2 linked regions of the Ovis aries genome follow. The protein of the gene in region 1 interacts with the protein of each later gene in a pairwise test. Links are inferred from orthologs where the notes say so. Each region holds a gene or a part of one and is shown on either strand. Other genes may lie near its edges.

Region 1 (8,187 bases):
TAGGAAATTCCAAGGGGATTTTTAGGAGTGCTATGCCAGGAACCAGGGGCAGACAGATAGACACATAGGCAGACAGAAACACATATATAAAATGTCATCTATTTTAATGGAGTTTTTAAAATCTGAATTTTAGAATCAGCATCTCTGATCCTAATGGTCTTTGAGCTAAGATTACATAAAATGTAAATAAATTTAGGGAGTATTGACATTTGACATTTTCATGATGCTGACTTTTAACCTATCCAAAAACATAGGATGCTTTATTAACATTTGTTCAAGTCCTTTTTTTGTGTTCTTCATTACTATTTAAAATTTTTTCTTATATATATTTTACCCATTTCTTTCACATTTATTCCTGGGTATCATGAGAAAAATCAAAGCCAAAATAAAAATCAAAGTACAGAATCAATGTACTTTGGGATAAAAATAAAGTCAAAGTTTTGACTGTAGCATCTGACATTAAGGTTCAGAACTAAATAAAGTTATGCCTAGCAGTTACTTTTGAATAGAAAAAAAAAATTCTGACAAATTTAAGGGTATTCCTCTGTATTTGCTAGACAATAAGAATTCTAATAATCTAGTTTACAGGAGCCCTGTAGGTGACCTAAGGTAGAGATGAGCCTTTTGGAGAGGTTTTTGGGTATTGGTTTTGTCTCGTGGAATAAATCTCATTAAAACTGATATGAAACCATGACATTTAAAAGGAGAACTGTACTAACAGAAGCATTTCCAGATGGGACTTCAAAGGACAGAAATGGTTCAAAGGGAAAAGATTTCAGAGCCCTCAAATATCTACAGACTGGAAGAAGATTGAGAGCATATCTCAGCTGAAAACATATGCCTTTTCTCATGGGAGATAAAGGATGAATTAGAGTGTAGAGTGGATTCCAGAGCCACAGAGAACCACTCTGAGGAAGCAAGACTGAACCCTAATCAGAGAACTGGTGACAACTGCCTGGTCAGATTTCAGAGTGGCTATGGACCATGAGCTGGAGTGGCCTCCTGTGCTCCACCTTTTTGAATAGAAGTATCTGTCACAGTTGTCCTGGGATTGCCCCCAGCAGAGTGGTGGTAGATAACTTTTCTGTTTAGTTCACAGATATTCAGAATGCGAACTACACTAAAGGAACTGAAATTGAGCAGGTGACCCCAAGGAGTCTCATCTATACTTGGACCTAATTTAGATGCTGGATTTCAAGCCTGAGGCTGATGTCTTCATATGACAAGACATCAAGTGTTGGAGGGGAACATGGATGAGTGTTATTTTTTTTTTTTTTAACATGGAAGTGAGATGCAAATCAGTGAGGGGCTTATGGAAGATTATGAAAGCTTAGTGGTTAGAGATTGTTTATTAATAAACCATGCCTTTCAGTATTCTAAGGCTTATGTGGTTCCCTCTCCTTGCCCTATGCCTTGCTTTTGAAAAAGGGTAGTGATGGAAGTGGTACTATGTGACTTCCAAAGCTAGACACTAAGAGGCTCTTCAGGTTCTGTCCCACTCCCTAGAATGCTTATGTTAATACTTGGGACACAGTCTCTTGGAATCTTGCTCCAAATCCTGAGCCATTTGGAGAGGACATGTGTCAACACTGTGGGCAGCATTTCTAGATGAGCCACCAGGTGATGGCCAGCATGAACTGCATGCCATCTGAGGAGCCATCTTGGATACCCAGTCCAGTTGAATCTTCAGAGGACCAAAACCCTAGCCAACATCTGACTTCAACTGCAAGAGAGAACCAAAGCAAATAATGCCTTGTTGGGTGAACCTGGTCAAACCATAAAACCATGAGAGAAAAATGATAAAGTATTGTTTTAATTCATTACACTCTAGGTAGATAACTGGAACACATAGCCACATAGACACACACACACACACACACACACACACACACACGCACACACACACCATTTGTAGCAGAGACTGGCTAGTTCTGCACTGAGTTTCTTTCCTTTTCCTCCTGAATACACAGAAAGACTGTCTCATCATGCCACTGAGTTCTGGCTAATGGAGCATAAGTAAATGTGATGTATGTCATATCCAGGTCTGCTGTATTAAAACTTCCTGTGGGCACCTTTATATCACTGTTTGACGGATAAGTATTTGGAAGTGACATACACAAAAATGACAAAGTTAGGTTATTGTGCTTTGTCACTGAGTTTTTGGGTTTGCTGTTTTAGCAGTTAATGTAAAATTAACTAAATACACAGCTGTAACAAACTGGCAGTATTTTATTTTGCATTTTGCTTCTATGTCCATACATGAGATTGACATTTAATTTTCTTTTTTGTGTGATTCTTATGATATTAAACTTAAAATAATTTATATAGGTATTCTTTTTCTGCTCTCTAAATATTGTTTTTAGGATTGAGATTATCATTTCCTTGAAAGTGTGATGAAATTTTTCTATAAAATATTGTTATGCTATCTTTTGTAAGTGAAGGATTATTTTTTACTCCTAATTCACTTTCATTTCTGGTTTATTCAATTTTTAAAAATATTCTATCCTCTGTTTTGATAATTTGTATAATTTTTATTCTTCTAGAACATTATATTTTTCATCGAGGCTTTCAAAATTTACCAGTTGTATGTTTTATTAATCTTTAGAATACAGACTTTTGTTTTCTTGATTCTATCATTTTGTAGACTTTCATTTTATTAACTTCTGTTCTTCACAATTCGCTGTCAACACTGTTTATATATTGCTTTTTTCCCCATTTTTCTAGCTCATTTCATTCATATAACAATCTTTCTTGATTTTTTAATTCATAGAATGTTTAGGTGTTATAAAATGTACTTCCACATGTACTAGATATTTAAACAAATAAATCAGGTATTTTGACATAAAATGGTTTAATTCTTGTTCAGTTCTAAATGTTTTGTAACTTTCATTGTTACTTCCTTTTAATTTTAAAGTTTTTATGATGGAGCATTTCAAACATGCATAAAATTAGACAAAATAATAAATGAATCCAATATATCCACAATATTATTATTATTTTCATAATATGTTTTTATCCTGCTCTCCTGACATATGTTCCACTTAGAAAAATAGTAGTCTTTAAAAGTAGTGGTAGTAGTTATAGTCTTAAAAAAAGCATCATTTGAACAGAAATGCTAAAGTTAACCTCAAAAATAACCCTAATGCTTGGTTACCAGTCACCCACGACCACACTGAAAATCTTTCTGGTTTGTAATTTATCTGCAAAGCATCTTTTATATGTAAAGTGAGAAATCACCAATCCTGTGTAAATTTTAATCTGGAATATTTTTTGTAAATATATAAAACTTTCCATGTATATATGTACACATATTATTTATTTGTTCATCTAACTGTTCTAAATCTACTAAAAGTCTACATCCACAATACTGTATTAATGTAGTGAACTACTAGACTCTTAATACCCAGTTCTAACATCCAAGAACATCTATGTGCACTCTTGCCTTAGCTATACCATATCCACATTCCATCTACATTCACCTTCTAACCACCTCACCCTTCCCATTATCATTTTGAAGCAAAACGCTAAAATATTTCAGCATATATTTCCAGAAGGAAAGGATTATTTTTAAACAAAAACAAGCTACATTATCATACATAAACATTTAACAAAATTTTTTAATATCATCTATATTTAAATATTCAGCCAGTACAAATTTATAATTCCTTGTTAAAATGTCATGTTTTTTAATTGGAGTAAATGGCTGTACAGTGTTGCATTAGTTTTTATTGTACAACAACGTGAATCAGCCAAATGTATACATATAATCCCTCCTTCTTGAGCCTCCCTCCCACGCCCCCATCCCACCCGTCCAGGTCATCACAGATGTCATGATGTTTTAAAAGGTGTCTTTGAAATCATTATCAAAATTAGGCCTATACATTGTGATTGATTAATTGATTGATATACCTTTTAAATCTTTCTAATTTTATAGGTGGTCTCTGCTTCTCATTCTGAGACAATTTATTTGTTGGAGAAATCAAATTGTCAGTTTTCCACAGTATGAATTTTGCAAATTATATGCTTGTGATATAATTTAATACGTTCCTTACCTTCTGTGTACATATAATCTGCAATATGAGTTTAATTACTCCCAACTGTACATTTTAAATATTTTTATAGTCCATACCTTTCACCTGAAAGAATGATTCTGTGAGGGTAAGGCCTGAGGTTTGTCATGCTTCCTAATGACTGCTTATTGTGTTTATGACTATTATTGACTCCATGAAAAACATGACTTCAAGAATGTAGAATAAGTGAAATAAAAAATATATTACTTTCTTATAATTTTAAGGTATCTTAAGGAATGGAAGGGTAGCAATTACTAGGAACGGCAAAGCCTTGTTATAGTCTTACTACTTTCTTGTAACTTTTAGGTATCTTAAGGAATGAAAGGGTAGCAATTACTAGGAAAGGCAAAGCAGAGATATAAGGGAGAGACTGAAATAAAAAACAGACTATTGAGCAAGAGATGTTGGGTGAGACTTACGGTTCCACAGAATCTGAGGTGCTGGTAGAAAACTGAGTGAGGAGAAGTAGCAGGAGACAAGAGTGAAGAAGTCTGCCTTCCCCCATCGTGAGGGGCAAACCGCAGGCACTGTATCGCGCCCAGCTCCTGCCCTCAGCCTGGTCCTTGAGACCTTTCAAATTTAGCAGACTTTATATGCTATTTGCAAACAAGCTCCACCTAGTGCCTCCAAATGGAGTTCATGGTTGGACACAGATTCCCTGAAAGGGTTGATGCTCTCAGCGATTGCTTCATTAGTCTCAAGGCTAAACTCTGTCTGACAGGCTCTGAGTCATTTCCAGACAATAAAAATTTATGTTCCAGTAAGAATTAACCTTCTCTAACTTTGACAGCAAAGCTCCTGAGGAGGAACTTTCAACCCATCCTTCTTCAACTCCTTCAAAATTCTTGCAAGTAGCTGTCAAAAAGAGCTACCTCTGAGGGTCAAGGGATGTGTCATTATGCCAGTAACTCATTCAATGACTTTAGGGGGACTTCTTGACAGAGGATTGAATAAGCAGCTCTGGAGAAAGTAATTCAAAAGAAATGCCCGTGCTTGACTAAAATTGCAGGTGTTCTCCCTGTCTTCGCTATCCCCCTCACTTCATCATGACCCACCCATCTAGCACTCTCTCCTAGCCTTCCTCAAGCTGCAGCCAAGCCCTGCTCCCAACATACTTCCCCTGTATCACTAACACTGTGGATCCACCCCACACTCAACATTCTCCTACAGACTTGCTAAGGCTGGGCAGTAGACACAGTTCACACAGGACACCTCTTGATCACCTGGTGCTGGTGGCCACAGGGACTAACCTCCCTGGGCCCCACAGGTCTGTAATGATTGGAAAGATAGTTCTGGGCAGGCTGTCACACCCAGGACATTACACAGGCAGCAGAAAAAAATTACCCATAGTCTGCCTGTGAAAAAGACATTTACTTATCCTGGAACTTCAGCCTTAGGGATAGGCTTCAGCACTGCTGCTCTTCTAGATGCTGCAGACACACTTGTAGGGAATATAGGGAGGAAGATGCAGTCTTTGCACCCTCCCGTTGTTGCATCGTCCCCTGACCTTGCCATGGCTTTCTGGGATCTTCCAGCAATGAGCTTATACACTCAGAGGAAAGCTTAGTTCTGGCAACTGTTGCCCAGAAACACTCCCGGATCTCCTGGTCTGGAGGTCAGCAGGGATTGCAGACCCACAGGACTATTTATGTACTTTAACAGCTGTTGCTGGAGGATCTGGCTTTCAATCTGTCTGAAACTAGGCACTAACTCTGGGAGCAAGCTTTCTGGAACACTGACAGGTCTTAAAACACCCTCAACAACTGGGATCCATCAAGAATAAATCAGGCTGCTTAACACACTGATTTGAAACAACCAAGAGCTAGGGTGAGGATAAATGATAAGCTTCATCTCATACACAGGACACTCTTTCAATGGGAAAGTGGGCTGTTTTATTTAGCATGCAGACTCAAACAGAGAGAGTCAAGCAAAATGAGGAGAATGGGGGAAGATGCTTCGAATGAACAAAACGAAACTTCAGAAAAAAAATCTTAGCAAAATGGGGATACTTATGGCTGATTCATGTTGATGTATGACAAAAATCACCACAATATTGTAAAGTAATTATCTTCTGATTAAAATAAATAAATTGAAAAAATGGAGATACATAAATTATCTGAAAAAAAGTTCAAAAGAATAGTTGAAAAATGCTCACTGAACTTGAGGAAGAATGGATGAACACAGTGAGAGCTTGAGCAAAGATAAATAAGAAAGTGCTGAACAGAAGTCATAGAGCTGAAGAATATAATAACTGAACTGAAAATAGGCTCGAGGGGTTCAACGGAAGATGAAGTGGAGCAGAAGACAGGATTAGTGACCTGAAAGAGCAGTGGAACGCATCCAAATAGAGCAGCAAAGAGAAAAAAGAATGTTGAAAGAGTGGAGGCAGGTAAAGAGTTCCTATGGGACAACATCAAGCAGAATAACATTCACATTAAAGGAGTCCCAAAAGGAGAAGACAGAGAGAAAGAGCCTGAAAATTTGAGAAATAATGGCTGAAAACGTCCCTAAGAAAGGGGAAGAAACAGATACTCAGGTACAGGAAGCACAAAGAGTTCCTTATGAGAAGAACCAAAGCGATCTCTACCAAGGCATGTTATAATTAAAATTAAAAGTTCAAGAGAGAATCTTAAAAACAGCAAGAGAGAAAAAAACAAAAAGACCTTGTTACGTACAAGGGAACTTCCATTGGATTATCAGCTGAGTTTTCAGCAGAAACTCTGCAGGTCAGAAGGGAGTAGCAAGATATATTTAAAGTTGTGAAGGAAAAAACTTCTCACTAAGAATCTCTACCCAGCAAGGCCACCATTTAGAACTGAAGGAAAGAGAAAAAGTTTTCCATAGAAGCAAAAGCTAAAGGAGTTTATCACCACAAAACCTGCTTTACAGGAAATGTTAAAGGGACTTCTTTAAGCTGAAAACATACTAATAACTTGAAAACGTATGTAAGTAAAAATCTAACTGGTAAAGCCAAGTAAATAGTAAAGATAGTGGTTAACTGCGGCTTATTTGTACTAGTGGCTCAAGACAGGTTTTCTATGACATTTTTAACTTTAAAAGCAAATATACTTCATGAAAAAGAATGCTTTGCCTAGGATCAAGCAGAATAAGAATTACTAGGATTGAATGAACAAGGAGGGAAATTAAAATGTGGATATTTATTTAGAATATGATAGGTCTTTATCCCCCTGGAGGAGGAAACAGCAACCCACTCCAATATTCTTGCCTGAAAAATTCCATGGACAGAGGAGCCTGGCAGGCTACAGTCCAAGAGCATTGGAAAGAGTTAGACGCAAGTGAGCAACTCAACACACACACACACACAAACATACACACAGAGGTATTTTTTAAATGTATTTTTAACAAATATGGGGAAAAGTTCTTCCTCTTTCTTTAAAAAAAAAAAAAAGCTTTATTTATTTATTTTTTTCTGTGCTCTGTGGGCTTCTCTTTAGTTTCAGTGAGGGGGGGCTACTCCTCCAGATGAGGTGCTCAGACTTCTCTTGGTGCAGAGCACAGGCTCTCAGGCATGTAGGCTTCAGTAGTTGTGGCTCCAGGGTTTTAGAACACAGGCTCAGTAGTTGTGGCACAGAGGCTTAGCTGTTCCTCTGGATGTGGGATCTTCCCGGACCAGGAACTGCTGAACCTGAGTCTCCTGCATTGGCAGGCGGATTCTTTACCCCTGAGCCACCAGGGAAGCCTTTTCTCTTTTTGCTCTATATCTAGCACCTAATTTAGTAGATTCTGTTTCTGTATGTAGATGGAGACAAAGCATTTAAAAATGGTATCTAATTTGCACTAACTCTCTTAAAATTCAGAACAAAAACTTACTTTTTCAAGTAAAAATATATCCATAATTTTCATGGCAACATAGTTAATTGCATTAGTTTAATAAGAATATGTCTTTTTAAAAAATCTAGACATAATTTGGACAGATTGATTGTGTAATTAAGGCCTACAAGAAAAATAATTTTTGAAAATAATTCTTATTTAATCAGTCATGACAAGCTCACAATAGAGAAGTATGGGTGGAGTCAATATTTACAAAGTCCTCAAAGGAAACTGACATGGTGTATGACATATAGGGTACCAGCCTCGTACATAAAGATAATTGTTT
Region 2 (8,218 bases), on another chromosome or scaffold:
CTCTGGGAGTTGGTGATGGACAGGGAGGCCTGGCGTGCTGTGATTCATGGGGTGGCAAAGAATCGGACACGACTGAGCAAATGAACTGACTGGCTTGCACCCTTAATATGTCTTTTTCCCCCACCTCTATCTGCATTTAGTTTTTTTCTTGTCTTTGGGTCACAGCACTTTTACTGTAATATGCCTAGATGTGATTTTGTCTTTATCCAGCTTGGGAATTGTAGATCTCAAATCTATGGATGGGTATCTTTGGTCAGTTTTGGAAGATTCTTAACCTTTCTCTCTTTGAAAATTAATTTCCCCCATACTCTCTTTCGGTGACTCCAATTATATATGAATGTATGTGTAATATACATATTTTTATACACCCTTTTTACTGTATTTTCCACTCCTGGAAAACAGTATCTTATTGTGCAAGAATCCATTAAATCCATGTGAAAAGGATTTGACAAATTAGTTATTTCTCTTACTGAAATACTGATGCCACTAGAATTTTTCTATGCTAAGAAGCAGTGTCTGTCTCTGACATTAGCAGTGATGAAACTCAAAAACCTTCATGGAATTTGACATAAGTCACCTTTTGTTTCAAGGACATAGGGCAAAAGACATGGAGGATTTTCCTGGTCACAAGGTTAAATATTTAAGGTTATAGACTGCATTGCGCTAGTCCTCAATGGCAAATTCTGAGTGACTTAGGCACCCACATGCTGATATGCAGGGCCTTCTAACATGTAGCCCCCAAGGCAGGAGCCTATCTTACCTGGGCCTAAAGGTAGGCAAAGCCCGTGCCAGTTCTTTCTCATTGTTTAGTTACCTGCAAATATTTACTCAGCACCTACTCTGTGCGAGGCACTATTCTAGCTTCTGGAAGGACAGCAGTAAATGAATCAGTCCCTGCTCTAATGAAGCGTACATTCTGGTGAAGGGGAGACAGTACATATATATCACTGCTGTCCTCTCAGGAGCTAGAATAGTGCCTGGCACAGAGTAGGTGCTGAGTAAATATCTGCAGGTAACTAAACAATGAAAAAGAACTGGCACAGGCTTTGCATGAGGATATTAAAATAGAGGAAAAAGGGTCAAGAGAAATAAATGACATGTGAAGAACACTGACCAGAAAAACATTTCCTCAAGAAACAGTTGAAAGCTATGATCAAAGATTTCATGACAACCTTAATATCTTATGATCTCTATAAACTGATACATCAGAAATACAAGAGGATATGAGGAAACAGAAGAAACATGAACTGGCAGAATTCAAGGAAAAAAGTACACAATCATAAAATGAATATAAAATTGGAATGATGAGTACACAGTGCTCAAATCACAATAAGGAGAAAAGAGGGATAAAAATAAAAATGACATGGGGACAGGAAATGAAATATGCACATGTAATTGGAGTTTCTAAAGGAGAAAACTTCTATTTTTATAGATGAAAGCATTGAGAAACCTTGCTCACATGGAGTCACTTAATAGATTTCAGAAACATCATTCTGATGTTATTCAGTCACTAAATGTCTGACTCTTTGCAACTCGACTGCAGTACACCAGGCTCCCCTGTCCTCCACTATCTTCCGGGATTTGCTCAAATTCATGTCCAGAGTCAATGTTATCTAACCATCTCATCCTCTGCTACCCCCTTCTCCTTTTGCCTTCAATCTTTCCCAGCATCAGGATCTTTTCCAATGGGTCAGTTCTTTGCATCAAGTGGCCAAAAAATGTTGTTTAGGAAAGAATCATTGATTTCATTGATCAAAGCAGTTTTCAGTGCAGTTGCGGTGTTAAATAAAGTTGGGTAGAAAGTTGGAGTGGATTGGGGGGAAGGGAATAGCAGTGAAGCAAACCGTAACAGCAGTAAGTTATTAAAACTATTGAAAATGTGGCTTCCCTGGTGGCTCAGTGGTCAAGAATCTGCCTACCAATGCAAGAGAAATGGGTTTGATCTCTGGGTTGGGAAGGTCCCCCAGAGAAGGAAATGGCAACCCACTACAGTATCCTTGCTTAGGAAATCCCATGGACCAGAGGAGCCTGGCTGGCTACAGTTCATGGGGCTGCAAGAGTCACACTCAACTTGGCAGCTGAACAACAATGCATTTTACCTGTTTTAACTAATTCTCATAATAACCATGCAAGGTGGTTGCTATTGATAATCTCATTTTACTGATGAAAGGGTGGAAGGAGACTCAGATCTAGTTATGCCCAAGGTCACTGAGTTCAACACTAAGTTGGTAGAGCTGGGATGACCTAGAAGAGTGGAGCACTTCGCCATGGTTGTCAAATTAGGCTGAAGTTCAGGGAATTTCTGCCTGATAAAACCTATTATTTAACGTAAGCTAGTATGTAAGGACATATTATAAGAGTGAAGGAGGAAAGAGAGGGTCACAAGTTTGAAAATACGGGTTTTCAACAGTTAAGAATGGGAGAAGGGTTGATAAGAGAAAACAGTAAGGATAATATGCGGTGTTGTTAATCAACATTTAGAAATACTGGTTTGTTCAGTTGGTGGGCTTTCTCCAGAAATAATAGGAAACTGGATAATCCAGGGCTGTATTTCTAGGAATGTTATGACATTTAGGGAAGGTTATTTGGGTTACTGACAACAGGGACACTGAAGTGATCACATAAAAAAATCTAGACAGGGCTGATGAAACAGGTGACAACAGTGAAATGATCTGATTTGAATATACATAAAGGAACAGAGCAGTTACGGTCAGAGATAAGATTTCTACATTTGTCATTTTGGAGATAAAGTTGTTTTTGGATACTGAAAGTATCCAAGATGTGGTTATTGTGGAGACAAAGCAATGGAACCACAGCCCTGCAGTGTTCACTGATGCCAACCGGGCAGCTGAAATTTACTACCTCAAAATTTACTCAAAAAATATGACCCACCTTTCTGCTCTCAAACCATTGTTTAATCAGAACAACAATCACATCAGACTTTTTTCTATACCTTGAATTCTTCCAGGTTTAAAAAATTACAGATATGAGAAGACTTTTACCTATTAATACACACAGGAATCTGTGTTCCTGGAAACCTTTACAATAGAAAGATCACTGGAACATCAGTATAATCAACACCTGGGAGAAGTATATTTCAGGTAAGAAAGTACAATAGTAGGAAAAAGTTGCCACTCAACTTTCACCTCACTAGCATATTTCATTGCGCAAAAGCAAATTGTTTTCCCTCCTGGTACTTTAGTAGGGTATCAAAATGGCATTGTATCTGTCTTCCTTTAATCCCCCTCCCCCGCAATTTAATAAAGAAAAAAAAAACCCAATGTTCATGCTTAAAAGACAGCCATGATATTTAATGTGGTGCTGGGCCACTGGGCCACATGGTCCAACAGACCTAAATTTATTCCGACCCTGAATTTTGTTAAATGTCCAATAATAAATGAACTGGAGTAAGAATTTCTTGAAGATGAAGAAAAAAGGTCCTCCAGTATAGTTATTTTAGAACAAGGCTCTTCTATTTATATAAGAATCAAGGCTTATTAATAACCCAGCATATTTAAATAAATTGATGAAAAATACTTTTTAAAATATAACACTGTTAAACATAAATCAGTTTTCACTTCTTAAATTAGTTGTAATAAGCAACCCTACAGGCTAGTTATCTGAAAATCAATGGTCAAACTGAAATCTGAACAAAGCCAAACTTGTTTAAACCAAATGCTATTTGTTAAACGTACATTCTGTTTACTACCCACTGACTCAGTATTTTACTATATAGGGTAACACCTATTATAAAACAATGTGAGAAATAAGAAAAAAAAATGTTGGGGGTGTGAAATCTAAAAAAAATTTCAGGATGGACTGCATAATCCAAAAATCACCTGTTCTAGTTGCTACATTCCTCGAACACATTCTACACTTCAAAATGACACAGGGACTAAAAAAAAAAAATAATCCAACACATTAACATACTTAAGCTTCTAGATGTATAACAGTTCAGCAAACAAATAGTTTTAACTCAAGCCTTTGAACACATCACTTAGAAACATTAAGATTTTGAACCCAATTACTCAAACATCATTGACTAGCCCATAATGCAGTTTGTGTTAACCTGCTGTACAAATTAACCACATAATAGTAGTCAGATACTAATCTTACTCCAACAGAAGTAGTGATAAAATCAAAGCAATACTCCTTTTTGTAAGATAATCAGGATAACAGCACTGGGATAAAATGAAGAGAATTTGGTTTCAGATTCTTGTTCAATAAGCCTGTTCCTCATTTTTAGATAATGAGGATAAAGGTATTACAACCAAATATGGGAAGCTGCTTTCTCTTTATTTAAGCATTAGGAAGGAAATTAACTTTGGTCACATATTACCTTTAAAAAAAAAAGTTCCATTTTACATATTCCTAAATAGATAGGACCAAATGATCAGAGAAAAATTTTCTTCTGTAAAAATTGGCCAATTTTATATTAAAAGAAAAATCTAACATACAATATCATTCAAATTATATAAAGACTACTTGGGATCATAACATTCCAAATACATGACAACTGCAACCCCAGCCTAACAGGTGTGAAAAGTATTTGCTCTCATGTTGCTTTGGTCCAAAAGAGTAGAGCTGAATCAGTAAGAGTAAACTAAGTTCCAAATATTTTGCCAGCATTAATTTAGATTGTTATTGGCAGCAGAAATATCCATGATGAATAGTTCTACTATGAGAAAGTATAATAAAAGAATATTTCCCATGAACACATCACAGTACCAGATAAAAATTTATAAAAGAAAAACATGAAGAAACAAAAAAAGATAAACAGCTACCACACAAAAAATACTGTTTCCCCCATAACTGTATCTGAAGGGGTAAAAAGGTGATATTAGAGATTGTTGATGATGCTAACATGAAAAGAAGTTGAGTATTGTATTTATTTCTTATTTTATACAACTCTTACTCTTTACAAAAATGGTTATAATCATGCCCATAAAAGTGTAACCCATGGCATCTGAAAGCAAACACTCTTTGTAATTATTTAAAAGGGCCTTTTTAAAAATTATAATACAAAGGTCTGTGCTCTATAAGCAGTCCTCCACTGTGCATTATAACAATAAGGCTTACTTTTAATACAAAGACTAAGTGTTTGGGAGTTATGAGCCACTAGATTTAACAAACATCATCTTATAGTTGCTTTTTGCATCTTTTTTGTTTTTGGACTCCTCCACTTCATCAGGGTGCTCAGCAGCTTGGAGCTCTTCAGTAGATTCTTCCTTCTCTGACTCTGAATCACTTTCAGAGTCATCTGGACTTTCAGGATCAGGTGAATCATCATCATCGTCATCTCCAGCCACATCACCTTCTCCATCATGATCATCTACCTACAAATATCAACCAACAGCCTATTAAAATTATCCAGTACAAAAACTGGAAAAGACCCTCATTTTTGTCTCACTCTCTAGCCATTAAAGCAGCAGTTTAAGAACAGAGGCTGCCTAGGGAAGAGCTGAGGGCTCAGGCGTCTCCAGCTGTTTCGTAAACTGGTACTTGAGGAGGATTTTTGCTTAAGAAAGGGCTCTGAAACCACCACCTTTCCTTCCCTCCCTAGTTTGAAATTAACATTGTCTTCCTGATGGAAACAATACTTTTTTTAAGAATAAGGCAAGTTAACCACTGATTCACGGGAATGCTGAAAACAGTTACCAATGTTTTGCATATTACATTATTTTGGAGTAATGAACCAGTAGTTATATGGAACGAGGTGACATAGGAAACAACTGAGATAACTAATGAGTATTTACATGAAATACTTCATCTAACTTGTGAGTACGTTGTTCATGCCTACTTAAAATGTGCCCTAATGATTCTCCAAGCAGAATGTACATTAAGCTAGTATCAAAAAACTCTAGTATTTCAAAAACTCTCAATCTCTCTTCTCATTAACTACAAAGACTTAGTTTGGCATATAAAAATATTTTAAGTAACTATATAAAGAGAGGTTTCTACTTAGGATTCTTGGTTGCTAGAGTAATTTAACAGAAATAAGTGATATCAAATTAGCAGTATCTTTCCACTTAATGAAAATATGTTAATTACTACCTCACTGAAGCCAAGTCCACAATGTCGTCGATATCTTCCTGATAATTTACTGTCCATACTTTGTTGATATTGAGACTCCAGTTCTTCATTAATTTTCTTGTCTTCTTCCCCTGTATGTCCAGTGTACTTTGATTATGTTTCAGTCAAATTAATAAAAATATTTGATTACACAAAAAACCCATAATACAGATGCTATTATATTTAGGGCTGATTTCTCTGAGTAATTTTACAGTGAATTTTGTGAATGGGTTTATATACCATATGTAATTACCTAACAGACAAAATAACTTACTTCTTTAGTAGCTACTCGAACTAGAAGCTGTTTTATTAAAAATGAAAAATTTTTCCATGTAATAATTTAAAGCAGATAAGGAATTCTCAGAATTGCCTGAAGTTTAGATACTGTAAATATTAATTGCTAAGAACTTTGGGTATCATGTTTTAGTTAATATAGTCTCATAATGGTTCTCCCGAAAGTGAAAGTTTCCTCCTAGTCATAGAAAAACACCTCCAACAAACAACAGCTTCTGTCTTTGAACACAAATAATGAAAAGGCACATAATTCTGTTCAGAAAATGGCTAAATAAAATGACCTTGGAATTGGCTCTCTGTATGCCTTTCTTTGCATATCACTTTACTGAACCGATATAGCAGGTGACATTTGACATATACTTTTAACATATACTCTGTTGCATGTAAGTTATGAAGTGGAATACTAAACAACCATCTATAAACTTACCACCCAAGGACTAAAATATTACCAATACCATTGGAGCTTTCTGTACGTGGCATTTTAATTTGTAAATACAAGAAAATAACTTCATATTTTAAAAGAATAAGTGCAACAGTTAAATACATTTCCATTCTGCCAAAGTTCAGACTCTTTAGCCTTCTGTAGCAATGCAGATTAATTTGAAGTAATTGTTCAACACCAGAAAAATAAAATGCCTATTAATTTCTAAAATATGCTACATAATCTAGGTCAGTATAAAGTTAATTTAAATGATGTAAGTAAAGGTTTTCTTAAATGTATATGGGGTATTGTGCCCTGTTATTAATAATGTCCAAGATCAGGGTTAATATTAAATGAAAAATTTTCAGCAGACTGAATCCAAATTCTAATTCATTTTCAGTTTTTAAATCCCCCCCCCCAAATTAAAAGAATTCATTTCTTCAGGTTTTCCAATGAGTTTTGCTCTGAGATCTTTGAAGAGCATAAACTTAGTGAATAAACTAAAAACCAGTATAATATGCCAACTATTAACACTGTATAGTAAATAGTATACAAAATATATGTAAACTCTAGAAACTAGAGTTGGCAAGATGAGGCATAAAACTTCACTACAATTAAAATACTACATGTTGTAAATTAGTAGAAATGGAAACAGAAGCAAGTCAGTTTCTTGGTTAGAATATTCGTATTAATGTAAACTCTTTCAAATCCTTCATCAGAGTATATACTGTTACATGATGTATGGAACATGTTTACATACACAACATCTATTTCCAACATGTTAATCATCAGAACTAATCAACAATTATACACAGAAGTTAGAATATCCCAAAATATATGCAAGTATTTCACATTCCAAATTTAGCACCTCCACTTTAATTATATTTTACCTTCTTACCTGTGCGGAAGTGAGATGTGGATTTGTGATCTCCTATAACAAGACGACCAGTATGTTCTTTCTGTAAGAAGGAAATGTATTAGAATTTGAAACCACAGATTTAACCTAATTATTGCCTATGTGCCTGATGCTGAATTTACATTCTTGCATGGATAGGGATGGAGAGGGGAAACAAAATCAATAAGTAGATTATAGTTATGTCTGAAGGCAGTGTCATTACAATAAACCAAGCAGAGGATGGGTATAGAAAGTATGTTGATTTTAAACAAGACAGACAGATAACTAGAAAATTGGATCAATTTAAACATTTTCTTTTCTAAAATGTTTATGTCTCAGGTATATATCCTGAAGAGAAAGCAAATCAGATTATTTAGCTAAATAAAGATAATGAACAAAATGACAGAAATCTAAAATATAAAAAATAAGAATCATTACTACTTAGCAACAGACCACAAACAGCTAGCTCGTTACTTCTGGCTACAAAAAACACTCTTTCACACTATGAAAAAGCACAGAATTTAAAACAATCTAGT

Evidence for each region.
Region 2: the proteins of A2M (region 1) and C15H11orf58 interact in a two-hybrid assay, tested with the Homo sapiens proteins (2 studies listed by BioGRID and IntAct). The link is inferred for Ovis aries from reciprocal best matches to the Homo sapiens genes A2M and C11orf58.

What each region holds. Positions count from the first base shown.
Region 1 is NC_056056.1:206,397,879-206,406,065, reverse strand, and holds the start of A2M (alpha-2-macroglobulin), read right to left. Parts: upstream 4,636-8,187; 5' UTR 4,576-4,635; coding exon 4,490-4,575; intron 1-4,489. UniProt on the Homo sapiens protein: Is able to inhibit all four classes of proteinases by a unique 'trapping' mechanism. This protein has a peptide stretch, called the 'bait region' which contains specific cleavage sites for different proteinases.
Region 2 is NC_056068.1:35,436,127-35,444,344, forward strand, and holds the end of C15H11orf58 (small acidic protein), read right to left. Parts: intron 7,747-8,218; coding exon 7,686-7,746; intron 6,165-7,685; coding exon 6,055-6,164; intron 5,337-6,054; coding exon 5,109-5,336; 3' UTR 2,894-5,108; downstream 1-2,893.